Drosophila melanogaster: one gene and its partner. The protein of the gene in region 2 purifies or fractionates together with the protein of the main gene of each other region. This does not show direct contact. Each region holds a gene or a part of one and is shown on either strand. Other genes may lie near its edges.

What was found.
Region 1: the proteins of CG10576 (region 2) and CG30339 purify together in Drosophila melanogaster (affinity purification with mass spectrometry, with the first as the bait; one large-scale study listed by BioGRID). This does not show direct contact.

The regions. Positions count from the first base shown.
Region 1 is NT_033778.4:9,597,448-9,608,611, forward strand, and holds CG30339 (uncharacterized protein), read right to left. Parts: upstream 5,455-11,164; 5' UTR 5,414-5,454; coding exon 5,115-5,413; intron 5,053-5,114; coding exon 4,680-5,052; intron 4,294-4,679; coding exon 4,039-4,293; 3' UTR 3,984-4,038; downstream 1-3,983. Other genes in the region: clos (closca), read right to left, coding at 1-72, 125-978, 2,063-2,228; CG30338 (uncharacterized protein), read left to right, coding at 1,137-2,003; CG30340 (uncharacterized protein), read right to left, coding at 2,462-2,995, 3,055-3,684, 3,738-3,764; CG1902 (uncharacterized protein), read left to right, coding at 6,435-6,733, 6,798-7,164, 7,223-7,495; GstT1 (glutathione S transferase T1), read left to right, coding at 8,640-8,757, 8,833-8,935, 9,000-9,316, 9,378-9,526; GstT2 (glutathione S transferase T2), read left to right, coding at 9,920-10,037, 10,089-10,191, 10,254-10,570, 10,630-10,778; CG12926 (uncharacterized protein), read right to left, coding at 10,902-11,156.
Region 2 is NT_037436.4:5,753,946-5,767,548, reverse strand, and holds CG10576 (uncharacterized protein), read left to right. Parts: upstream 1-1,846; 5' UTR 1,847-2,120; coding exon 2,121-2,208; intron 2,209-2,364; coding exon 2,365-2,462; intron 2,463-2,502; exon of another isoform or gene 2,503-2,688; intron 2,689-2,753; coding exon 2,754-2,890; intron 2,891-2,952; coding exon 2,953-3,115; intron 3,116-3,154; exon of another isoform or gene 3,155-3,291; intron 3,292-3,299; exon of another isoform or gene 3,300-3,436; intron 3,437-3,464; exon of another isoform or gene 3,465-3,603; intron 3,604-3,772; coding exon 3,773-3,994; intron 3,995-4,126; exon of another isoform or gene 4,127-4,204; intron 4,205-4,275; coding exon 4,276-4,501; intron 4,502-4,548; exon of another isoform or gene 4,549-4,689; intron 4,690-4,833; coding exon 4,834-4,961; intron 4,962-5,024; coding exon 5,025-5,138; 3' UTR 5,139-5,586; downstream 5,587-13,603. Other genes in the region: Ppat-Dpck (bifunctional phosphopantetheine adenylyltransferase - Dephospho-CoA kinase), read left to right, coding at 1-413; Txl (Thioredoxin-like), read right to left, coding at 560-773, 833-1,116, 1,174-1,539; Usp47 (ubiquitin specific protease 47), read right to left, coding at 6,165-6,375, 6,431-6,564, 6,619-6,689, 6,748-6,874, 6,940-7,920, 7,978-8,895, 8,955-9,342, 9,401-11,052 and 1 more.

The DNA of each region.
Region 1 (11,164 bases), on a different chromosome or scaffold from region 2:
GTTAAGGTTATAGATCTTGACATCCTGTTTATTACAAGCAACCAGGAGTAGAAACTTCTCCGATATTGAGTGCTAAAGGATTCCACATTTTATGAATGCCATGAAAAGTTTGATCCGAAATTACCTGAACTGGCAAAACCCTTTCCAAGGCATAGAAACTCAATCGCTGATACGGCACAAACTGCCCCTTTTCGAAGACATAGATCACGGTGTCCGCATCGCCCACCTCGGCGCCAGTTCCGCCAATTGTGTTGCCCAGGATGAGAAAGTGCCTGCGGCTGACCTCGTTTACTGGGAGACTGAAGTACTTTACGTCCACGGCTCCATTGCTGCGCAGTCGCTGGAAGAGTTGGAATCTCTGGGACTTGGCATCCCATCGAAAGATCTCTGAGTGGGTGGCAGTTCGTCCCTCCGCATCTGCGTAGTTGGCTACGGCCACATAGTCGGTGTAGTCAATGCCGAAGGCCTCCATTCTTCGAGCTTTGCTGCAGTGAATCGCGCCCAGTCTCTGGAAACTCTTGCCCATCCACTTGAAGTAGGGACACTGCGCATTCGATTCGAAGGCATGCAGTAGAGTAAGTTCCTGGCTGCTGATCCGAAGGTACATTCCACGCAGATGTGTTCCCGAAAAGTATTGCACTGTCCGTATCCCCGTTTCCGGGGAAATCTCATAGATGGGTGATCCTTCACGGGCCTGGCTTACGGGCTCTGTTAGATTGTAGCTCACTGCTACGTAGCCACGCCCAGCGAAGGCCAGGCAATCCAGAGCCACTGCCTTAGGTGTTTCCAACTCCACGAGGAGCTGGTAGTCCTGCTCAGCTGGACGCCAGGTATAGACGGCAAAGTGACGCACTCCTGCGGCATTTTTATGCAAGGCCGTAGCGTACTTGACCGTGGGCAGTTGGAGGATGCAAATGTCAAGGGGAAAAGACACCGGCACGGAGGCCACTCGTTCTAGTCCATCGAAACTAAAGCTAGCTGGAAGAGGCATAAAGTGTTTTAGACAATAAGTTGCACAAACACTAATCACAAAAGATTCCTCTTCAGCTTTTTGTACTTTCATCTTTAGGATAGAGCCGTAGGTAATCCGTCGCCGCTGACTAAACCAAACAATTCTTTCTAACTCTTCGTTAGCCATGGCCGATGAGGAGCTGCAAACCTACCGTCGCTGCGTTGGCCTGCAGCTGGAGGAGCTGGAGCTGCTGAGCTCCATATACTGCGCGCCCGGAGAGCTGCATATGCTCGATGCCGGCGTAGTGGCTGATTTCAATGAGTTTCTCAAGGATGATAAGACAAAACCCGCTACTAGCCTTCTATCCCATTTGGAGTATGTGGTCAAATTGACTCTACCAGGCAAACAGTGCGTGGAAGTGCGAGTGGAACTGCCGCACCTATATCCGCTTTTGGAGCAGGCACGCGTCAGTGTACACACTACGCTACTGGGAAAATCCAAGGAGCAGCGCTTAAAGAATGATTTGGAGCAGTATCATGGTGAAAGGCGGGAGGAGGACGCCGAGCCGTACATCTTCCAGCTGCTGAGCTGGCTGCAGGACCGCATCGAGGATCTGTTAAAACGACCAGCTTCCGAGTTTGAAGTGCAGCAGGTAGCATCATCAGACCCGCAACAGCCACCAGCTACGGAACTTCAGAGAATTTGGATTTATTCGCATCACATCAAATCCAGTGCCAAGCGGCAGGAGCTGATTCGGCAGGCCCGACAGTTGGAGCTCACAGGATTCAGTAGACCCGGTAAACCGGGCATCATATGCGTGGAAGGTGATTCGGCAAATGTACAGGAATTCTGGCGCACCATCAAGGCCCTGCGCTGGCAGAAGATCAGCGTGGTGCGGACGGAGCCTCGGCAGCGCAAGCGGGGATTCGAGGACTTCAGCGAACAGCTTTTTAATGCCGAAGAAGGCGTCATGAACATGGGCCAGTTCATTCGATTCCTCGAAGCCCACGGATTTGGCTACATGAAGTCGGAATTGTTTGGTTTAGCCTGAGCACTGGATTTCCCATCAAAATTTAACATGTTAATAAAGTTTGTTATATCATTTCAAACCTTGGTCGAAAAACTGAGGCACAGCAGTCGCCCGTTTGTGGAGCATCGATTCCTGATCTGAGTTCAGGAAGTGTGTGGGATAGGATTCCCGGAAGTTTACTTCAAAACTGATCACGCGGGCGATCACAGCCGCAAAGATCAACAAATTGCAACAGATTTGATACATATATTTATTTTGTGTAAACTATACAAAACGAAACATTCAAACTGTAACACGTGCACTGGTTGCAAAATAACTTTTACTACCGGCCATGATATTTTACGGTTCTTAAAGCTTTATTTAGTATGATTGTCATATGTTTGGTACCCTATATCATAGTGGGTGTATTAGAGCAGAGAGAAGTTCGTATTTTGGTACATTGGCTTTTAAATGTATTATTTGTTTCTCTTAAATTTCTTTTATATAAATCCGTCTGCCTCGATTTCTGATACAAATTCATTTTCAACTATCTTCGTTGACTTGGCCGATTGTTGTGCCGACGACATATCCTTGCTTATGTCTTTTTCTAAATTTCCTGCCTTTTGTGCTGCCTCTGAGGTTCGTTTTCCATTCTTCATAAAGGCACAGTAGCAGCAGTGGTCTGGTGATCGAGAAAACTTCTTCATTTGGGTGGCGTCTCGCCATCGGCGAACCCAAGAAATTTGGTAGTAGGCCCTTCTAAAGTTCTCATTGTTGAAGCCATAGATCAGCGGATTGACGGCGGCGTTCAGAAACATCAAATACTGTGATATGTACCAGAATAGCTGCATTCCACTGCTGACAGAGACATCTTCACCGAAGTATTTTTCCCGTAGTACAACCAGGATTGTAAAGGGCAGTCGTAGAGCTGCAAAGACAACGACCACAATGAACAGTGTCTTGGCCACGCTGCGTTTATAGCTCACTGTCAGCGGGTTCTCGCGACTTAGGACCCGCTTTTCATACCGATCAAGCTGTTTTTGAGTTGGCTTATTAGTTAAAAATCCAGGATGAGCACACTTTCTTTGCTTACCTTATAAAATATGGCTATGTAGCAGATAAGCATGATGCCTAATGGCAGCCACACCAGAATGGTGATCAGAACATACCAGTACTTGGGCAGCACAGAGGTGTTCTCCTTGCAATATCGCTCCGTAAAGTTCTTCCACACTCGCACCCTGTAAGAGCGATAGAAAGCCAATGGTGATGCCAATAGGATACCCGAGACCCAGGTGCAGACCACCACTATCTGGACGCCCCTTATGGTGAGGCGCGTCTCCATTGGCAGCACGATGGCCGTGAGACGATCGTAGCTGACTACCGAGAGATTGAGCACGGCTGTGATGAGGAAGACCACCACCAAAAAGCCCTCCAGCTTGCAGCCCACGCATCCCAACTGGTAGTTCTGATAGAAGTCGTTCACCATGAACATGGCAGGACAAATGGCCAGGGTCAGTAGATCCGCAACGGCCATATTTGCAATAATCAAGTTGGTGGGCGAGCGCAAAGAACGGTTGGTGGCTATCACATAAACCATGCTGAAGTTTCCATACAGACCAAAAGCAATCAGTGGTAGAAAAGTGCAGATCTTCCAGGTGATCTCCCCATTGGGCTTGTGCAGCCAGATGCGCTCGGCTGGGAAGTCCCATTTGCCGAAGTCAAACTAAATGAAAAAGGTATAACTACGGTGAAATGAAAATCTTACTCATTACTAACATCGTCGCTGCTGGAAACCGAAGCCATTCCGTTGGATTCCTGCTTCGACGCCTTTTGCAGAGGAACTGCCTAAGCGTTCGTCAAATTAACATGACCAACACTTGATCCCACTTCATTTAGTTAGTTAGGTGATTGACAATGCTATTAACAAGTGTCACAGATAGTGCTCGCTAAAAGCTAATGGCTCTGCGATTTGGCCATCTGTCGCGTCGCTCTCGGCGATTCTCATGAGAAGTCTAGTTAGTTGTTTTGAGGATTGTTTTTGCCTTTTATTGAATACTAATTAAAACACGTTCCGACTTTAATCGATGTCGAGTTTTCGGAAGGATCCCTCAGCGCCAAAAATTGAATCCGCATTAACACGCTTTCCAGGCCGCAGCTGCTCATCCACTCCGTACTGGGAATCCTCAGCAAAATAGCTCTCATAGGACAGCAATTTCTTCTCCGCTTCCGCCTGAATGTCGGCTATACGTCCATTGTTGCCACCATATTCTTCCGGCAGGTATTCGCGTGGTATCACCTCGTTTAATTGCTCGAGATTTTTATACACGTGAAACTGAAAAAGTAGAGAGCCATGTGTGTGATGAGTCAGGGAAATAGATTATTCTCCTATTCGCTGATATATCTACTTGCACCTTCCCCCCGTATCTTAAAACTCGGCCCAGTGTTTCAATGATAAGAGCCCATGTGCGTGGTCAACTGACCTTAGGCAATGCTGCTCCACACACAGTATTTCACAGTATGCGGACCCAGCTCGAAAGTTAGTGGCTCTGATTTGTGAAATATTAATTAATAGTTCAGGGGTGAGAGAGTGCCACAGCTCTTCAACGCCTATCAGCTGCCTGCTAGACCAGCTGATAATCTCGTTGAAGTGTCCGATAAGGGAACGAAAATAAATTAGCTAGAGTGGCTACGACTATTCAATTATTCTTGCCTACTCACCCGCTGCTGGAGCTTGCTGGGCATTAGGCTCTTGGCCAAATTCAGTAACGCCACTCCCTCCTTGGGGCAATTGATCAGATGGACTCCTTTCAAGCGAGTGGGCTGTGCCTTCTCAGCGAATATTCCCATCCTTTTGATGAGCGTGAAATCCAGTTGGGCCAGAAAACTGAGGCTCATTTTGGCCATGTCAACGATCTCGACGTAGCCGCTAATGTTGCTGTGGTCATCCTCACGGATTGACTGTTCCGTTATCATGGTTTGGTAGCGGAAGAGATCCAATAACTTGAATTCCTTAGGGTCGAATTTCTCATAGTTCGTAAGCTGCAGGCGGGGGCCATCGGTTCCCCAAGGTTTGGGCAATCGAACATAGGTTCTAAATAGAAATTTAAGTTTCTTAAGTTTTTAAATATCCTTGATGAGCGCCTTTTAACTCACCCAGATCTGCACAAGATTAGGTTCCTTTCGTCCACCAATCTTTTGCCGAAGAGCTCAGGCATAAGCGTCTTAATAGTATAAAAGTGATCCAGCTTGGACTTGGTCTTCTCCAGGCTAAACTTGCAGCCTCGCAAGAAGCCAACTAGGAACTGGTCATCCTGGCGGGCCCTCAGATGAGGTTGCTTGGCCAACCAATCCCGAAGAGCTTTCAGATCCGCGGGCACTCGCTCCTCCACTTCGTTTAGCTCCGTTTCAGCAATGCGACGAAGTTCGGCGCTCAGGGGACGCAGATTGGCCATTTTTGGGAAGTCGCTTGCTTCGTGGCGGCTGGACGGCTACTAAACGCTCTTCCTAATCGCACGGCGGCCAAAATCCCCGGGCCGAAACGGAACCGTTAAAAGCTAATCTGAGCTGCCTTTATGGCCACTCATTCAGTTGATAGCGGACACGACCATTTCCACCACTCTCTTTTGCTCCGACGGCCCATCAAATCCAACCCGATCTTTTGGGTGTAGGCGGTCGAAGTCTCTCCTCGGAGGAGATAAGATTACGGCTCCACTGCATCTATGGCGTGTAAGCGTGCAGCTGGCGAAGAAGCAGTTGACTCTGTGGATAGAAATACGCCACAATTCAAACGGTTGTGAGTATGCAGATCGTATCTTATCACCGGATCGGAAAAGCACAGTTGGCAGGAATTACCCAATTATGGGGTTTAAAAGTTAATGACATATCAAGTGGGTGTATTTTTTTTTAAAGATATAAGTTGATTGAACAATTTATTATTTATCGGGGGTGTAAAAAATCGATTATCATCTTTAAATCGCAATGAAATCGCAATTTTAAGGCTGGATTGCTTAAGAAGTATACTAAAAATATCCAAATATATATCATCCTATATAAATAAAATTTTTTAAACTTTATACTAGCATTACAAAATTGAGATTACCAATACGAAACCAGTAAGGTGCAAATGTATTTTCCAGTGCACTTATCATATTCACATAACATTGCTATTTGTGTTTGCTCTATCGGCCACTGATATCACATAATCTGGTGCTCAAATGGTTTGTCATTGTGAGTTTGCTCCGTGCCGTAGTGTTTTTCGCGTTCTTCTGCACCAGTGTGCCCGCTATCGAATCCGGGAGGGTTCCCGAACCGATCAGAATCGGTAACCCAGTCCAAGCAGGCGGGCGCAAACTTTTCTGTTAGTCGTGTTCGCACCTGGCGAGAGAACACACACACCTTAGCACACTCCAAGCCTTCGGTATCGTATCTCAAAATTAAGACAAGTATCGATCGATTTGCAGATTCCCTGTGACCATGGCCAAGATACGATCGCTGGAGCCGGAGCTGGCAGAGGTGGCTCGAACGCAGCTCTGCGAGGATCCGTCCTCGACGGTTGCGAAGATCGAGGCGCTAAGGACCTGGATCGACAAACAGATCTACCTGGAGGCGCGGACCGACGATCAGTTCTTGGTGGCCTTTCTGCGCTTCTGCCGCTGGGACGTAGAGGAGGCCAAGAAGAGGGTACTCTTCTACTACACCTACAAATCAAAGGAAAGAGAACTGCTCAAGGGTCGCCAGGTGGACGATAAGCTGATAGAACTGGCTCGTTCAGGGTAAGGCGGGGACCCCCCTCATTTTCTGGAGGTGGGTGTTATAGAAAAACTTGTTCTTTTGCAGAATATTCGCCACATTGCCCAAACCTATTGGCCCTGGTGGCCCCCGCATCCACTACACACGAATGGGTCACATTGAACCTTCCAAGCACAGTGTCAGCGACATTTTCCGCTTCCACGCTTTTCGCGCTGAGATCGAGATCAACACGGACGACAACTGGAACATAGCCGGCGTGGTGGAGATCATCGACTTCACCAAGATACCCTACTCTCTGCTACTGCAGTTCGATCCTGGCATGTTCAAGCGGATGAATGCATTCCTAGAGCATGGAATTCCAGCGAATTTAGTGGCCACGCACATTGTCAATGCATCCAGGGAGACGCAGTTTGTCCTTGGACTGGTTCGGAATGTCATGAAGCAAAAGGAGCTGGTGAGTTCAAAGGGAAAATCGATGCAGAACCACTAACTCTTTGCTACCCTTCCTACAGTTGCACATTCACTCCACCGTCGCGTCTCTGCGAAAGGCAATTGGATTGGAGTATTTACCCGTGGAAATGGGCGGCGATAATGGATCTTTGTCTGATGCAATGACGCGCTACGAGACCCAGCTGCTAAGCTTTTCCCCGTACTTCACGGAAGACGAGCGATATGGCGTGGATGAGAAATTGCGGGAAGCCAGTGAGAAGGATCAGGAAAGGGGTGCTCCGTTAGTAACCGACGTTCCGAACGACGGAACCTTCCGAATGATTAACTTCGATTGAGTCAATGATCGGGCAGTTAGTTGTATATTCTGATGCACATCCTATAGAACACCCATTTAACACACAGCCCGATATATACACACTGGAATGTATAGACACTACAGCGCTAAAGCGATCTTTGGTCATAGCAGAACCTGATATTTTATAAATGAAACCATAAGGGAGGAACATCGAAACTAAAAGCAAATTGAACAATATTATAGACGACAAGTGCACACTAAAACGAAATAAGAAGCAAATGGATCGCCATCAAATGGCACAAAAACCTCACAAGTTTGTCGATTTTAATTTATTGCTGTCCTTATCCACGCACATACTTATACACATTCTAACGTCCGGTCGAACGATTCATTCTACCATGATCCCATAATGCATTTTCATGATGAAATCTTCAACGTCTTCTACTTGCGTGCTAAGTTGTTGTTGGCTTTGATTTTATCGCATACTTTTATAAATACGGTACATGAGCATACATATATATTTTGGATAATTTTTCAGTTGGTTAAGTGTCGTTTTTACTAATTTTTGATACTAGTTTACACATACATATACATGCATCTCTATATTTATGGATAATACATACATAGTTAAATGACTATATTTAAATGTGACAATGTACTGTAGACCCCATGTTGAGTGCGTTAATAAATTAAAGCGAATTTGTTTAAATGTCGGTATAACTAAAACATAAATGGTATTACTTGGGGTTGCCTTCTTCATAAATGGGGTAAGGGTAATGTGTTTATCTGGTCGAGATAAACGCTTTGTGGTTCTTGATGACTGGTTGACATATCGCTGTTTGAACTGAGATTCCGATAAGTGAAATCGATAAGCTTTCGGTTATGACAAAAGCAAGGCTACAGCATTTAATTTTATTGATCATTGGTATATTTTATCTGACTTCTTACCACCACCTGATTATTTTGAACTTATATATTTGCCCGCCCTTCTCGGATTCCCCATAGAATGGGATGGGATGGCAATATCATTTTGGGTACAGTGTTGAAAAGCGACCAGTTTGAACTTTGGACCGGAATAAAGCTTTTTGCTTTGAGCTTTTTGACATTTCATCAGCGACAACAAATATATTTTGTTTTCGTGTTTACCGGGCTTCCTGAAGCTAACTGATTAATTAATTGCCAAGATGTCGAAGGCTATTAAGTATTATTACGATTTCCTATCGCAGCCATCCCGCGCCCTCTGGATTGCTATGAAATTGGGCAAGACCCCATTTGAAGACTGCCCGGTTGCCCTGCGAAAACGTAAGAATAAATAACAAGTTACACATGTATATAAGGTATAAAGATCTTCTAACATTTGGGATGGTTATATTCCAGAGGAGCAATTGACCGACGAATATCGCAGTATAAATCGGTTCCAAAAGGTGCCGGCCATCGTGGATGGTAAATTTCAGTTGGGCGAGAGTGTCTCCATAGTGCGGTAAGTTCAAGTATCCAGAGCTCGGATTGCCAGGTTAATACTATAGATAAATGACACATTTCAGATATCTCGCGGACAAGGGAGTCTTCAGTGAACAGCTGTACCCCAAAACCTTGGAGGAACGCGCGCGGGTGGACGAGTTCCTCGAGTGGCAGCATTTCAATGTCCGCTTGGTCTGCTCCCTGTTCTTCCGTCAGGTGTGGCTTCTTCCGGCAAAGGGACTGGCGCCGGCTCCCAAGCCAGAGTCTGTCAAGAAGCTAATCAAGGATGTGGAGAGTAATTTGGGTCTACTGGAACGCCTCTGGCTGGAAAAGGACTTCTTAGTCGGCGACAAACTTACCGTGGCAGACATCTTCGGGTCTTCAGAAATTAATCAGATGAGTAAGACTGAGCCCACTGCTGTATCTAAAATAAATTCTAATAATAACGATTTGTAATTTAGAGCTCTGCCAGTACAACGTAAATGAGAAGCAATTCCCCAAGGTGGCCAAGTGGATGGAACGCGTTCGTGATGCTACCAATCCCTACTACGATGAGGCCCACAGCTTCGTCTACAAGACCTCTCAGCAGGCAGTCAAGGCCAAAAACTGATTTCTTTTCGATTTTGACTGATTTCTTTGTTCATTGCATTTATTAGGATTTTAAAACATTTTTGTGCCTTATCTGATGTTTATTGTGTTCAGTTCTGCGCTGCAAAACTCCTAAATGTTAAAATAATTAGAGACTATGAAAAGGGGTGATATCGGATCAATAATAGTTTCATATGTTCGCTTTATATAATATAACTATCTTTGAAGTTGGGAGCCACTTTTGAATTTGCCTCCTAAAGCGGGACAACTATAATAGCATAAAACCAGTGTTGCAAGGTGACACTCAAGATCTTTTGACTGGAGCTTTGCTCAATTTCTCATTTTCCAGCTGAAGATATTCGTTTTTGCCGGCTGTTTGGAAGTTGGGGCTGAGGAACGGGAGCAATTGACCACCATGTCCAAGCCAATTAGATTCTATTACGATTTGTTGTCCCCGATCGCCCGTGGTCTATGGATTGGTTTAAAATTCAGCAACTCACCCGTTGAGTATTGCCCGATTGCCCTGCGAAAATGTGAGTCAAAGTAATCATCTAAACTGCCCCGACTCATTTATGTTTTATTAGTTGAGCAATTGACCGACGAGTACAAGAAGATCAATCGATTCCAGAAGGTGCCCGCCATTGTGGGTGGGGACTTCCATTTGTCTGAGACCATAGCGATTATAAGGTATGGGAAGGCCATCATTGGAAAGCAATCTCACATTTGGATCGTACATTGCCCCCTTGCAGATATCTCGCAGACAAAGGTCAGTTCGATGAGAAGCTCTACCCAAAGACGCTGGAGAACCGTGCCCGAGTGGATGAGTTCCTTGAGTGGCAACACCTGAACATTCGTCTTGCATGTTCCATGTACTTTCGAGATGCCTGGCTGTTTCCCATGAACGGGATAGCGCCCAAGCCCAAGCCAGAGCAGATTCAAGCACTGATTGAGGGAGTGGAAAACAATCTGGGTTTACTGGAGCGCCTGTGGCTGGAAAATGATTTTTTGGTTGGGAAAAACCTGACAATGGCTGATATCCTTGGCTCTTCCGAAATCAACCAGCTGAGTGTGTTAAACTAGTGTGGAGATAACTTAACGAAACTAATTATTTTTATTGTATTTAAGGGCTCTGCCAATACAGAGTGGACGAGAAAAAGTTCCCAAAGGTGGTCAAATGGTTGGAACGCGTAAGGGTATCCGCAAATCCCTACCATGACGAGGGACTGACTTTTATTGACCGAAAATCTAAGCAATCGACGGCGGCAAAGTTGTAAGGACTCAAGTACTTACCACTTACTATTTAACCAAATTCGTATAGTTTTATGTTGTTTAGTTTTGATTTGTTTGTGTTCGTACAAAGATTAAAAATCACTACGTTTTATATGTTACGCACTAGACTAGTCGATGTCTAGTTTTCTGAAGGATCCTTCGATTCCAAAAAGTGATTCGGCGCTAACGGGCTGTCCTCGCCGTAGCTTTTCATTCGTGCCATAAGAAGCCTCCTCCTCAAAGAATGGCTTGTAGGCCAGGAGCTTGGTCCTCCATGTACTGACGACGTCCTGGATGGTTCCATTGCTGCCCCCATACTCAGCTGGCAAGCATTCCTTGGGCACATACTTGTAGAGACTGTCCAGTTTGGAGTGTATATGAAACTAGACGG
Region 2 (13,603 bases):
TGGTGTTTGCCGATCCCAAGCAGTTGCAAGCACTCAACGGCATTGTCTGGCCGGAACTTATTGCGGAGGTTAACAGGCGGCTGGATGCACTGCGTTCCCAGGCGGACGTGCCGCGTGTGGTGGTCCTGGAGGCAGCGGTGCTGCTGCGAGCGGGCTGGGAGACCAATTGCCATGAGGTGTGGTCCATGATTGTGCCACCGGATGAGGCTGTGCGGCGGATTATTGAGCGCAACAAGTTGAGCGAAGTGGAGGCCCAAAAGCGACTGGCCAGTCAGGTGCCCAATTCTGAGATCGTGGCCAAGTCGCATGTGATATTCAGTTCGCAATGGGATCACGAATTCACCCAGAAACAGGCGGAGCGTGCGTGGAAAATGCTTACCAAGGAACTGGACTCTTACCAGAGCAGCCTTTAACCCGATGGATATTTAGATTATCTTGTTGATCCTTATTTTGTATGATTTTTTATGCATTTGTTGTATATTGTTTAGTTGTAAGTCCAAAGTTGAAAAGAAATGCTGGGACGTCATTGGGGAAAAACGCTGAAAATTTCAATGGAACCTTAGTGGCTCTCGCCCTTCTTGCCAGCCACTCGCTTGAAGTCGTTCATCTTGGTGGTCATGATGGGGGAACCGATGAAGCCGATATAATCAATCTGCGTCACATCGCCACCTGACTGATTGTTCTTCACGAAGATTTGGATGTTTTGCACATTCTGGAACTTGACGTAGCGCAGATTCACGGGCACTCCACTCTCCAGCTCCTTCTGAGCCAGGCTGCAAAATGGATTGAACAGTGAGAAGAGCTAAGCAGCCATAGAGAAGGCAATAGCTACCTTAGATCCTGCACACTGTTCATGGACTCGGCCATGTCAAAGTCAATCGTGCGGGGCTGGTTAATGAACAGCTTCACATCCTTGGGACCCAGGTGCGAAGGTGCCTTGAACTTCAAAGAGTGGATCTTCACAGCCTGATTAAAGGTGATGGACAGGATGAGCTGCTCATCGCAATCGGACTGCAGGTAGCCACCGGCGGAGGCCAGGGCGTGCTTTAAGTTGTGGTCATCAGCTTCGTTGAGGCACTCGCACTCCTGCTTCGAAATAAATGTATTCAGTTCCATCTGTAAGAAGGATTAGGGATTATTTTTGGAACATTTCCAAATACTGCACTATATTACCAATCCCTGCCCGTAATCCTCGCCCCCCTCCTCGCCACCGGATGTACCGATGTGCTCCTGGATCTTGGCCTCGAGCCCATTGACGTCCGCACCCTGGACGCGATCGATCTTGGTCCTGTTCCTGTAGAAGATGAATGTTGGCATGGCCGAAACGCCCTGTCCAGCAGCCGTGTCCTGGCACTTGTCCACATCCACTTTCAGGAAGATGGCCTTTGGGTACTTTGTTGGAAACGTCTCGAAGATGGGCGCAATCCGCTTGCAGGGACCACACCACGAAGCTGTGAAGTCCACCACAACCAATTGAATGCCCGCTTGGGCCAACTCCGCCTGGAAGTGGGACTCGTCGTTGATCACGCGCACGGACATGGTGATAGGATTAGGTTTCTATTAATTGAGCTTTTGTTTCGGCAGCCGAATTGGATTTAAGCAAGTAAATGTTATTATTAACGTTCAATGCAAATTTTTTTTGTTAAAGATGACTTGTAATATGCATTTAGTCCAAATTCGTGCTAAGAAAAATACCGAATGCGGTATTCCACAAGCGGTCACACTGTGATGGTATCGATATTTCGAGCTCTTTGACTTCCTATTTTTAGAGGGACCATTTATGTGTAATAGAAAAAAACCGAAACTTAATATTTAAACTTTTATTGAAATATTAGTGGATTACAATATGTAAAACTATGAAATATTCTCATTTGATATAGCTCAAAGTGTTATTTAAAATTCATTCAGTGTTTACGACTAGCAATCTACGCTTTCACGCTCATCTTAAGCTTACCGCCCATTTGCCAGGGTTGTCAAGGCGAATGAGCGGTCCCACCATACACGCCACTGGAACTTTCGATACCTGCGCTGCGCCTGGCCACACGTTCATTACCTCGTGGTGTTTCAGTCGGTCGCATTTTCATTAAGTCGCCATTTTAAAATTATTAGAGTCAAGTACAATGGCAGATGTGGAAAAGGAGCCCGAGAAGACCATCGCCGAGGATTTGGTGGTGACCAAGTATAAGTTGGCCGGCGAAATCGTCAACAGTGAGTATTCCTTGGCCGGAAACAGCGAACGCTGGCCGATTCCTGGAGTCGCTGCTACGTGGCGCTTACACAATGCACCGAATGCCGCTTTCCCTTGTGCGCCACGCGTTGGTTAATCTGCCTATTTCTGGACTCTGTCTGCTCGTTTAATTTTAGAAACCCTCAAGGCGGTAATTGGACTCTGCGTGGTTGATGCCTCCGTCCGGGAGATCTGCACCCAGGGCGACAATCAGCTCACCGAGGAGACCGGCAAAGTAAGTGGTGGCCACCTGGCGGTCATTCGCGCCAATTTCATGTCCAATGATTAAGACTTACACCTTTGAGGGTTTCCCGATGGCGAGCCATGTGCTGTGCGGGCTGGGGATCACCTCGTGGTCGCCAGGCGCACGCGGGGACTCCAATGCTCCACGTGCCCGGCTTGTGTGCTCTCCAAAAGGTCCCGAGGATTTACAGATTATGAGATCTGAGGACACACCGCGCACTATCATTGATATATAGTACAACGAACAAGCAATCTAATGCTTTTATCGATCTTTCACAAACAGGTATACAAAAAGGAGAAAGACCTGAAGAAGGGCATTGCCTTTCCCACCTGTCTGTCCGTCAACAACTGTGTCTGCCACTTCTCGCCAGCCAAAAACGATGCTGACTACACGTTAAAGGCCGGTGATGTGGTCAAAATGTAAGTTGAACCTCCTATTCCACATATACCGCCACTAAATACGTAACATTTCTTTTCTACAGCGATCTGGGTGCCCACATTGATGGTTTCATTGCCGTGGCCGCTCACACAATTGTGGTAGGCGCTGCTGCGGATCAGAAGATCAGTGGTCGCCAGGCCGATGTCATCCTCGCCGCCTACTGGGCTGTCCAGGCTGCCTTACGTCTGCTCAAGTCCGGCGCCAATGTGAGTCCTCCCTTACTTCTAGGTAATCCTCCGTTAATCCCTGCAAGAAACGGATTGTCTGCCGCGATTCTCCAGCGACTGAACATCTCAACACTTGCAAAGATCAGCTGTGGCAGCTGGTAATTGCCCTGGCCTATTATTCAGGACTGGAGGCTTCTTGTCAGTTGTCCACAAGGTTATTTCTTCTGCAGGCAACGGATTGACTGCGCTCAAACTCTGACACAGATCAGCTCAACACCTGCGGATAGAAACTGTGTCAATTTCGTGAACTGAACAAGTTCATTCCATAGAAGTGTTCGGTCTTTAAATTTGTCCACATCTCCAGTTTATAGATATGTCGGAATTGTAATCTGCAGGCAACGGATTGTCTGCTGCCTTAACTCGTGGCTCAGCACAGCTCAACGTCTGCAGAGATCAACAGTGTCGATTTCGTGAACTGAACAAGTTTAGATACTTGAAATGTTCGGTCTTTAAAGTTGTCCACAATCGCAATGATAATGCCGATCAGTTATTGTTATTTTGCGTTATCTATAGTATACTATGATATTTGATTAAGATTAGTCAAAGGGAATTGGAATGTTTTCTTTATCTCTGCTTTGAACTATTTCCATTTTATTTCATACTTAATATTTATGTTTCAATTCTGTATCCTTACAGAACTACTCCCTCACCGATGCAGTGCAACAAATCAGCGAGTCGTATAAGTGCAAGCCCATTGAGGGCATGCTCAGTCACGAGCTGAAGCAGTTCAAAATTGACGGCGAGAAGACGATCATACAGAACCCCAGCGAGGCGCAGCGCAAGGAGCATGAGAAGTGCACCTTCGAAACGTACGAGGTGTATGCCATCGATGTTATCGTCAGTACCGGCGAAGGAGTGGTTAGTAATCCATCAATAGACACTACATCTCCACTAATTTGTTCGATGATTAAAAACACGCGCTTGAGGCTGACTTTGCTGGAATGCGGTGTTTGTTGCGAGAGTGACTTGTTTGCTCGGCGTTTTTTTATACTAAAATGCGGCACGTGCAGACACCAAGTTCCGGCTGGCTGTTGTCCGAAGATTGCAAGATTATGAGATCTGAGAACGCCAAATTTAAGCTGGATCCTGGATCATCGCAGCCAGAGCATTATTGCTAACATTATTCGTATTCGTTGCAGGGACGCGAAAAGGACACCAAGGTCTCAATTTACAAGAAGTCTGAGGAGAACTACATGCTCAAGATGAAGGCGTCCCGTGCTCTGCTGGCAGAGGTGAAAACCAAGTACGGAAACATGCCATTCAACATCCGCAGCTTCGAGGAGGAGACCAAGGCCCGCATGGGAGTTGTTGAGTGCGTCGGCCACAAGATGATTGAGCCCTTCCAAGTGCTGTACGAGAAGCCATGTAAGTGTGATGCATATTATTATTAATCCTATTCCCTATTATGCGAGTTGGCAGAACTTAATTCCGGACCTGGTACACCTTCGGGTGCTAAGTGCGGCCAGACATTTTGCCAGAACAAATTCCAGGCATTGTCGTCTTCAGCAGTTGCCTCAGTGTGGCCTCTGTCTGAACATGGCACTGTCACAATCGTATCCAATCTATTAACCTGTTTTCTTATACTTATTAAAGTTAATTTAGAGACTAAACTAGTTTGAGCAACCTTTATAAAGTTCGAATTTTAGCCGGAAGTAATAGCAAAGTTAAACAATCCTTTTCCTTATCTTGCATTACAGCCGAGATTGTGGCGCAGTTTAAGCACACGGTTCTGCTCATGCCTAACGGCGTCAACTTGGTCACCGGCATCCCATTCGAGGCGGAGAACTATGTGAGCGAGTACAGTGTTGCGCAGGAGGAGCTCAAGGTAAGCTGCAACAATTTCCTTGTATTCACGATGCGTACTCAATGAAATCTCAACTTTTTGCAGACTCTGCTCGCGCAGCCTTTGGGTCCTGTGAAGGGCAAGGGTAAGGGCAAGAAGGCAACAGCTGGGGCGGCGACAAAGGTGGAAACGGCGCCGGCCGTGGAGACCAAGGCATAGACCAGCCCGCTGATGATGATCCGCACCGCCAAGCCATCAACGGAAACACAATGTGAACAATTGCGCTGCCCAACGCTGCGCTCCACAGATTTTTACTATCGAATTCGTTGCGTATTAGAGGACCCTTTTGACAACAGAACAGGACAGAAGAGAAGACGGCAACAATTTGAGGATACATTTCCCCAGAAATCCTCCATCCATCAACAAGGCGGGCGGTCGGTCGGTCCCGCGCCAACTTTACCTCTTTATTTCCTTTACTATAAGCTGCCTTCGTTTATCGGTCTGTTCAACATCATCGCAACGAAAAAGCAAAGCAAGAACTGTCATCAAATTGTAACAATTTTAACGCTAAATGATCTTAAAATATAATTCAAGTGAAACGTTATTAACGCTGCGTAGTAGGTATTAAATAAAATTAACATTTTCTATAAAACAGCCGATAAATGCCAAACGATTTTTCATTTATTTACTTTCCGCTGGCGCCCAATTTTAATTCGATTTCGATACGCTTCTCATTCTAATAAATGCACTTGCGAGTTGTGTTTATTTTATACGTTTAATTTAGTTTTGATGTTCACATTCACATTATACAATTTGTAATTTAGATTTCTTGCCTTTTGTTATTTTAAATTTTACAGTCTCATCTTTGAACTCTTGTATTACGAAAGTTGCAAGAATAACTTCGTTATGTTAAACGTCACTTAGTGCTGTGCTCACTTGGCCACCCCAGTTGTCCATCCCAGATCCAATCCCAACAAGACCAGACCAATTCGATGCCGTATACGGCGACTTTGCCCAACTCGCTGACCTCTTCCCTTGCGTCAAACAAAATAAAGAACAACAAAAAACGCAATTGCTGCGGATGAAGTATAGAAAACACGAGCAGCACTTGCAGACGACAAAGATATGTGGCCGGTGATCAAAAGAGGATCTGGGATTTAATGGTCTGCCGTCGCTTACATACATGGTTTGGTGTACTTTTTTTTTTTTTGTTATGATCGCCGCGACTGTTTTCTACTCGCCAGACTAATTATTGACATGCACGTCCATCGGTGCGGAGGCGGTCACGTTGCTCGACTTCTCCGGAGAGTCCAGGTAAATCTTCAAGGCACGTTCCCGGCGCTGCGCATACCGCGTGGTGGACACGCAGCCCACCCGATCCAGTCGTGCCTTCTCCCTGGCGTTCATCAGGCGTCGCTCCTCCAGCGTCAGCTCTCGCGCAGGTACCGTCCTATCTCTGTTGAATTCATTGGTTAGTCTAGGAACTGAACTGCCACTTGCTCCACGCTTACTTGTACAGGTAGATGTTTCCTGTCTGTGTGCTATTAAGCGGATATTTGTCCAGGGTGGTGGGCACGGAGTACCAACTGCTGGACTCGTTAACACTTAACGCTGATATGCTTGTGCAGGGGAAGTTGCTGTTCAACTGCAGAGAAGACCAATTAGATCAATATACACAGTAGAACGCAATTTTACGAACCTTCATATAGCTCAGTTTGTCTATTGGGATGTCGCTGATCTGTGATAATGAAAGTCTGATTTCGCTGTCCTCTGCAGAAGATACGAGTTCGATTTACTGCTTACAGGGCAATATACAGATTTAACTTACGGTCCAAAGTGATTTCTTGGAACTTTCCAAACTCCAGTTTAGCCGGACACCACCGTCTTACAAATAAAGTCAGAGAATCGTCCTTGGGCTGCGGGTCCACTTCCTCCTCGCACTCTTGCACAATGAACTGAAATGGTGTGATATAAAATCCAAGTTAAGTTTTTTTCTCATCACAGAGACAGGGGAACCCACCTCCGCTGCGATGCTGGAGCGCATGTCGCAGTAGAGCGTTTCATCGTCGGACAGAATTTTGATGGGAATACGTCCGCCCTTCAGCCAGATGCGACAGTTTTGCACAGACAGTGTGGCGTACTTGGCGTCTATGCGATGCAGCTTGGCCACCAGTTCCTTCTTGGCCTGCTCCGCCGTGGTGTTGGCATTGTAGACCCACTCGCATACGCAAGGCAGTTTGGACGTCTCGTTATCAATGTCCGCCAGTCGCAGGAAGTGAATCTTGGCCTTGAACTCGTCCGGCTCCAGCGTCTTACCCAACTCCACCGTCAGTGTTTCGCCTTCTATGAGATGTACCAACGAGTTGTTCTGGTTGTTCGACAGATTATTATCGTGTTTCCGCTGCAGTTTAAAGTGGGCGGCGGGCACTTGGATCAGCTGCTCGATGTGTTTCTTAAAGGCCCCCATTCGCATGTGTGTGCCCACCAGCAGCTTATAGGCACGCGTGGGCTTACGCAGCTGAGCCTCTTCGTCGGACTGGTGACCAGAACTGGAACCGGTGCCAACCACATCCACGCACTCGACCTTTGTGGCGTAGAAGAAGTGGTTGGTGCTGGTGGGCAGGAGCAGCGGATCCACCACATCGGCCGCCGCATAACTGCCGTTTCCATTGCAGTAGGCATGAACGCGCATCATGGCATCGTGTGAGGCTGCTTCGTCCTCCGGACTAGACAGCTGCGGCGAGTGACTGGTGGAACTGACTTGGCTGTCGCCTCCACCGCGATGTGCCATGTTGTCCGTCTCCACCAGAGTTCGGTCTCCGTCGCTCAGACTACTGTCCTCCGAGTTGGACTCGTGGCCGTGGCTGGGACTGGGTTGTGACATGGGTTCCACTAGATCTCGCTTGTAGCGCCTCCAATCGTAGTCGTTGCTGGATGACATGTGACCAGGTGCCACGCCATTCATCATTGCAGCATCCACAACATCACCCCCGCTGGCGCACTGAAAGGACAGCCAAAAATTAACCTTAGTTATAAACCCAACAGCTGTATAACCTACCTCGACTGACTCAACGGTGGGCACACCGAGCATCTCAAGGGTCGCGGCATCCGTGTTGGGTACGTTCAAGTAGAAGTATGTTATGGACTTAAACTGGGTGTTGGCCATGTTCTGGAGATGTTGCAGGGCCTCCGGCGTCGGATGCGGATCGTAGGACACGAAAGCCTTCGGCACCGTGGCGCGCACCGTGGCGAGTAGGAACTGCTGCTCGCTAATGTGCAAACGGAGGGCGATCGAGCGGCGAAGGACGTCGCTGGCTTCCCGCTCCCGCGCTGCTGAGTAAACCAGGAAGGGACCGTCCATCGCCATGGTCGATAGATCTACCTTAAACACATACCAAGTAATGCCGTTCGGCGGATAGACCTCAAACTCTTGGTCCTCGGCCCGGTACTCCAGCAGGAAGTCGAGACTGTAGTTCTGCGCCGCGCGCAGTTCGGTCAAAGCTGGGTCTGTGCAACTCTCCAGGGACTGAATAATCGTGTCCATCGAGGAGTTGTAAGCCACCAAACGACAGCGGGAAAGCGGCGCGAATTGTTCCACATTCAACATCTCATAGGCCGACATGAGGACCAAGTTGATGTTGAAACTCTGCGATACGTACACTCTGGTAATCTTCATCTTCTTCAGGGAGGGATTATAGAAGTAGACGCGCGGCTTGTACAAATCCGGAAGAGCCAAGTCCGTAACCGTGATATGCCTGCCCAGGCGGGACACGCGCGTCTCCTCCTCCGAGTGCAGCTTTGGTAGCAGCGTTTTGATGTGCTCAGGAAAGTCGGCCACCTTGGCGACTAGCTCGTTTCTTTTGGCATCCACCTGCCGGTACATCAACATGTATGCATTGGTGCTGGAGGTGTAGGCACTGGAGTAGTAGCTCCCGTTGGGTCCGCCAAACGAACGTTGGATGTCCTCTTGGGTGATCTATGGATAGATAGTCGTTCAATATTTTCTCAAGTTATGAATGTGTTGCGAAAACCTACACTAGTCACGTTCTGATCGTTAAAACAGAACCACTCGTTGTTGTCGAAGTCCTTAATATAAGCATAGTAGTGTCCGCCCGAAGCGCTGCCTGAATGAATCATGATGGCGAACAGTTCGTAGAGATACGGACCGGATCCTTGCTTGGCGCTCTTGCTGGTGCTGCTGCTCATGTCGATGCCTTCATCCTCGTCGTTCAGATCGTTTTCGTGCTGACTAGAGCTCGCTGTGGTCACCACGCCGCTGCTCAAATTATCGTCCTCCATGGCGGATCCACTATCCGCCGTGCTGCAATCGTCCACGGTGCCGTTGAGCTGAGAGTTTTGCTCACCGCTGTTTCCACTTCGGTTAATGAACGTGTTCAGGTTGAGCGTCTGAGGGAAGGTCACTCTGAAATAGAGGGCGAGCATGGAATTAAATGCTTATGGATTATGGCAAAGAGACTAACCTGTCGTTTAATTTGATGCGGTGCATGGTCTGGTAGTCAAAGTCAAAGCGTTTAAGGTGCAGCGTGAGGATGTAGGGAAAGGACTTAAAGTGCAGTCCCTTGTGGGCGTCGCATTTTTTCTTGCACTTCTCGCACAGATACTGGTTATTGCCATCGAGTGTTTCGGGCTGAACGAAGGCACGCAGAGCTTCCTCGATGCTGCCGTATGCGGAGCTGCTTCCAAAGGGCCTCACAGGGAGCGGGATATCTAGAAAGGTGTCCTCGCGCGTCTTCTCGGTATTGCACTCCAAACACTTGACATAATCATTCATCTTGCCCTCGTACAGATTAGAGATGAGATTTGCCTGCTTAGTGTTCTTGAATTTGTGCTCCAGAGCGTCGAACATAACTCGGCACAGTTCCTGGATATCGTGCTGCTGCCATGCCTCCGTCGAGTCCCACCCAAAGCTGCGAGTCAGGTCTGTGGTTTCTACCGCCGCTTTGGGCGAGGTCTGCAAGTTGAGGAAGAGCTTTTGCAGTTGGTATGGTATGTTCTTGGCCTCGTTGTCATTGTCGAACTCCCAGCGGTACAGAGCATTTCTGAACTCGGGTGTCATAAAGAGTGCCTGCAGCAAGCTGTTTAGATAGCAGGTCATGGCTTGGTTGACCAAACCAACATATCCCCTGGGACCCAAGCTCGCCTGCCTTGCCTCTGCCTCAGTTTCTGTGGTGGCCGAGGACACGAAGTCCGCACCCGTTGTGTTGACTCTCTGCCATGCTCGCAACTCATCGCCTCCATACTTGCGACGATAGAAGTTTGACAGAGCCGGGTACGTACCATCGTCTGTTCCAATTGTGGATGGGTCTGTCACTCCGGTCACACCCTCGACGTCCGAGTCACCGGTCGGAGCTCCGTAATCGTATCCAGGTCCCAGCATTGTCGGACTAGCAGATGCTCCGAGTGCCAGGTCGTCATCCGACAATTGTTCAGCATCTGAGATGAAAAGATCTGAAGGAGCATCGTCCACCGGTGAGATTAGGTTTCTACCTTGTGGATACAGCTGCAGTTGCTCAGAGAGCTGTTGCTTGCTCAGGGTGTCTACTGGTTCGCAGTCCAACTCTTTGATGGGTGATGACGGCTTGATTGGACTCAGCAACTCTAAAGTCGGCTTAGAAGTGACCTTGGCCGTTTTCTTGGCCACAGGACTCTCCGAAGAAGTGTTTTTAGAGTTTATCTCTGTAGACAGCTCGGGACATTCTTCAGGGCTAGCCCTGGGAGCTTTTTCCGAACCGGGCTTGGAGATCTTTGCTGCAGTCGTCTTGATCTTGGAAGTCTTTTCGGGACTTGATTCCGAACTGATGCTGGTCTTAGCCAAAGAGTCCTCACTCGTCGTCTTGGCCTTGCTTGGAGAGGAAGATCCCGAAGCTGGCTTCTTTTTCGTTTTCTCACCAACTACGCGTTTCTTCTTCTCGCCGGTGGCAGGACTCTTGGCCTTCTCGCCGTCCGACTTCATAACCTTTTTGACTACCACTCTTTTAATGGGTAACTCAAAGCGTTTGGTCACGTCACCATCCCAACTGCCGGAGGGCAGCAGGATCAAGTGATTCTTCAGCTGGGGCTCAAAACCAGCCACTTCGTACATCAGCTGAGATTCCAGGGCATTCAGATTGACCTAAAGTAAAGGGGAATTCAATTAGCGGTTTATTAGAACCTCAAGATGTGCAGATATTTTTACCAGATCCTTGTTATCGTGTGGCTGCAGCAACAGCTCGAACTTTTCGTACGAGAACTGCGTGCCAATAAGGTCAATCACGCGTTTCACCGTGAAGTGGGAGCGGACCACTACGTTGATCTTCTTTTGCTCCGAGCCGGGTGTCTGGTCAAAGACCGAGACGGTGCACTGCTCGCTCTCCTTGTCCGTCATGTCCAGCCCGCGGAATAATCAAGTGATGGTGGAGAAAACCCTGCAAAAAGATTGTAGGCGAAACGTTGGCTTTACTTATGAATTTTGTCTGGAGTTTTCTTTTTATTTTTTTTTATTTCTTTATTTTAGAATTAAAAAGGTGACACGACACCTTTGACGTTTTCGGCGGGGCCAAGTTCCTGGACATGACGATGCTTCTTGGCCCATAGTAAATAAGGAAGAGATGCCCAGCCCCAAATTACTGCGAAATCTTCTTGTTTTCGACCCCATTCGCGAATAAAGCGGCAGAAACCAAGAAGATTCCGTCCCACCTCCCGCAGCCGCAGATATTGACGTGCTCCGGGTTTGCTTTTCGCGCCTTATTTGTACGGGCCAGCACCAGTTGCCGTATACATATATATATATATATATAGATAGATATACACATATAGCACGTACACCCAATCGAGCATCGACTGCCCCCCGAAATCGACGTCGTGACTAACGCGCAGGGGAATTTCGTAAACAACCGGCCATCAGAGTTGCCTCCGGAGGATGCTACGGGAATTATTATTTGCCTCCAATGGACTACCAACGTCATCATCATCATCATGACCATAGCTATCACCATCGGGCGTACCGAATGCATAAATTTCAGTGCAAATGTCGCTCCATGTTTCAGCTGGCTTCCTTTGTGGCTCCCCGCAAGACTCTGTAACGGAAGTGGTGGCTATTATACGAACGAATATCTGGCGCCTTCAATTCGGCAGTGCGCATATTGCAAGTGGACGGTGGACATATCCATATGTACAAATTAATACTTATCGGACATCAGCGTGAACACTGCGAATTATTCTAGAAACATTTGTAGAATTCGAAAGATTTAAGGAAAGCAGATGCTGAATATTAGGCGAAAAGCGATTGAACTACTCTATAATATGCAGTCAAAAATATCATCGATTCGCCTGTCAATTAATTGTATCTAAAATTATACTTTTCGAATGTCTATTTTGGCAATAATCTTTAGTGATTCGTACTGCTCAGCATTTAATTGAGTGTCGCAAGCAATTGGGGCCGGGGTATTTGCAATGTTTTTCCAATTCTCTGCACCGAAATAACCACAAAAAAGACAGCCAGTCAGCCAAGATATTTTGGGTCTCCTCCGAATGGAGGATGCACATCCACGATGTGCGATGTGAATGCGCTGCAATTGGGCGTTCAAACACATGTTGGATGGTCCAAACACAAACCGCATTGCCCGGCAAGGGAGCGAGTGAGATGGGGATCCAAAAATGCTAATACACGTCGGCCAGCACAAAATCAAAATAAGAAACCCATGCTGCTAAAAATAAAAACTGGCGGCGGCGACACAACGACACATCGGAGCGGTCGGAAAAAGCACACAGGCGAGTGGAGGAGCAAGATATAAGACAGCTTTGGGAGCGTCTTGAATACGCGTATATCTGGCTATTTGTGAATGCGAAGGTTTTTGAGAAATTCAGAGAAGCGCACAGACTGTTCGAATACGTCTATCCTATACATCAGAATGGTCAGGCACTTTCAACACATTGGCCCCATCCATCCCACTCAATATTTACATGATGACGATGATCTTTTGGTCAATGTTTGTGTTGGTCGGGTATTACAGAAACCGATATCGCGAGTTATCTATGCCATATACACGATCCAATGGGGGGACGGCGGGAGGGGCAACAGTCATGCTCGCATATATTTGTGCTATTTTTGAACTATTTCGGTACTGCGAAATCTATGTGATCTACAAAAACCATGAGATGTCTGAGATATGACTGCTGAGTGCCGGAAATTGTAGGATTCTCGATTCCCGATCATATAATGCATTCTCGAACAGAAAATCTCCATTACGAAATGCTTTCTATTCTTAGGCGTCGCACAACTTTAATTGGAGCTTCCAATGTTGTGTGAATAAGTGTGTATATATCCGTGGTCTATATATGCAACGGATTTTGGTGAGTTTTACCGTCTGTGTCGGAACTGAGTGTGCCGAAATCTTTCCGAACTAGAAGACCGCACCGTCAACGCACGGCATAGTTCACGCGTGTACTGGCCGCTTAGGATGCCGATGCCGATTCCGATTGCGATCCGAAGATACACCACCCGATCTGGCGCCCGATCTTTGGCGAAGCGAGCTACGTGTTAAGTTCTCGGCGTGATGTACTATAACAATGAGAAACAGTTTACTTATCTGGCTTACACTTCAATAGGAAAACAATACTTTTATATAGCTTCTATAACTTCGGGGTGCGATAAGAACATGAATACAGATACACGGATTGCAACA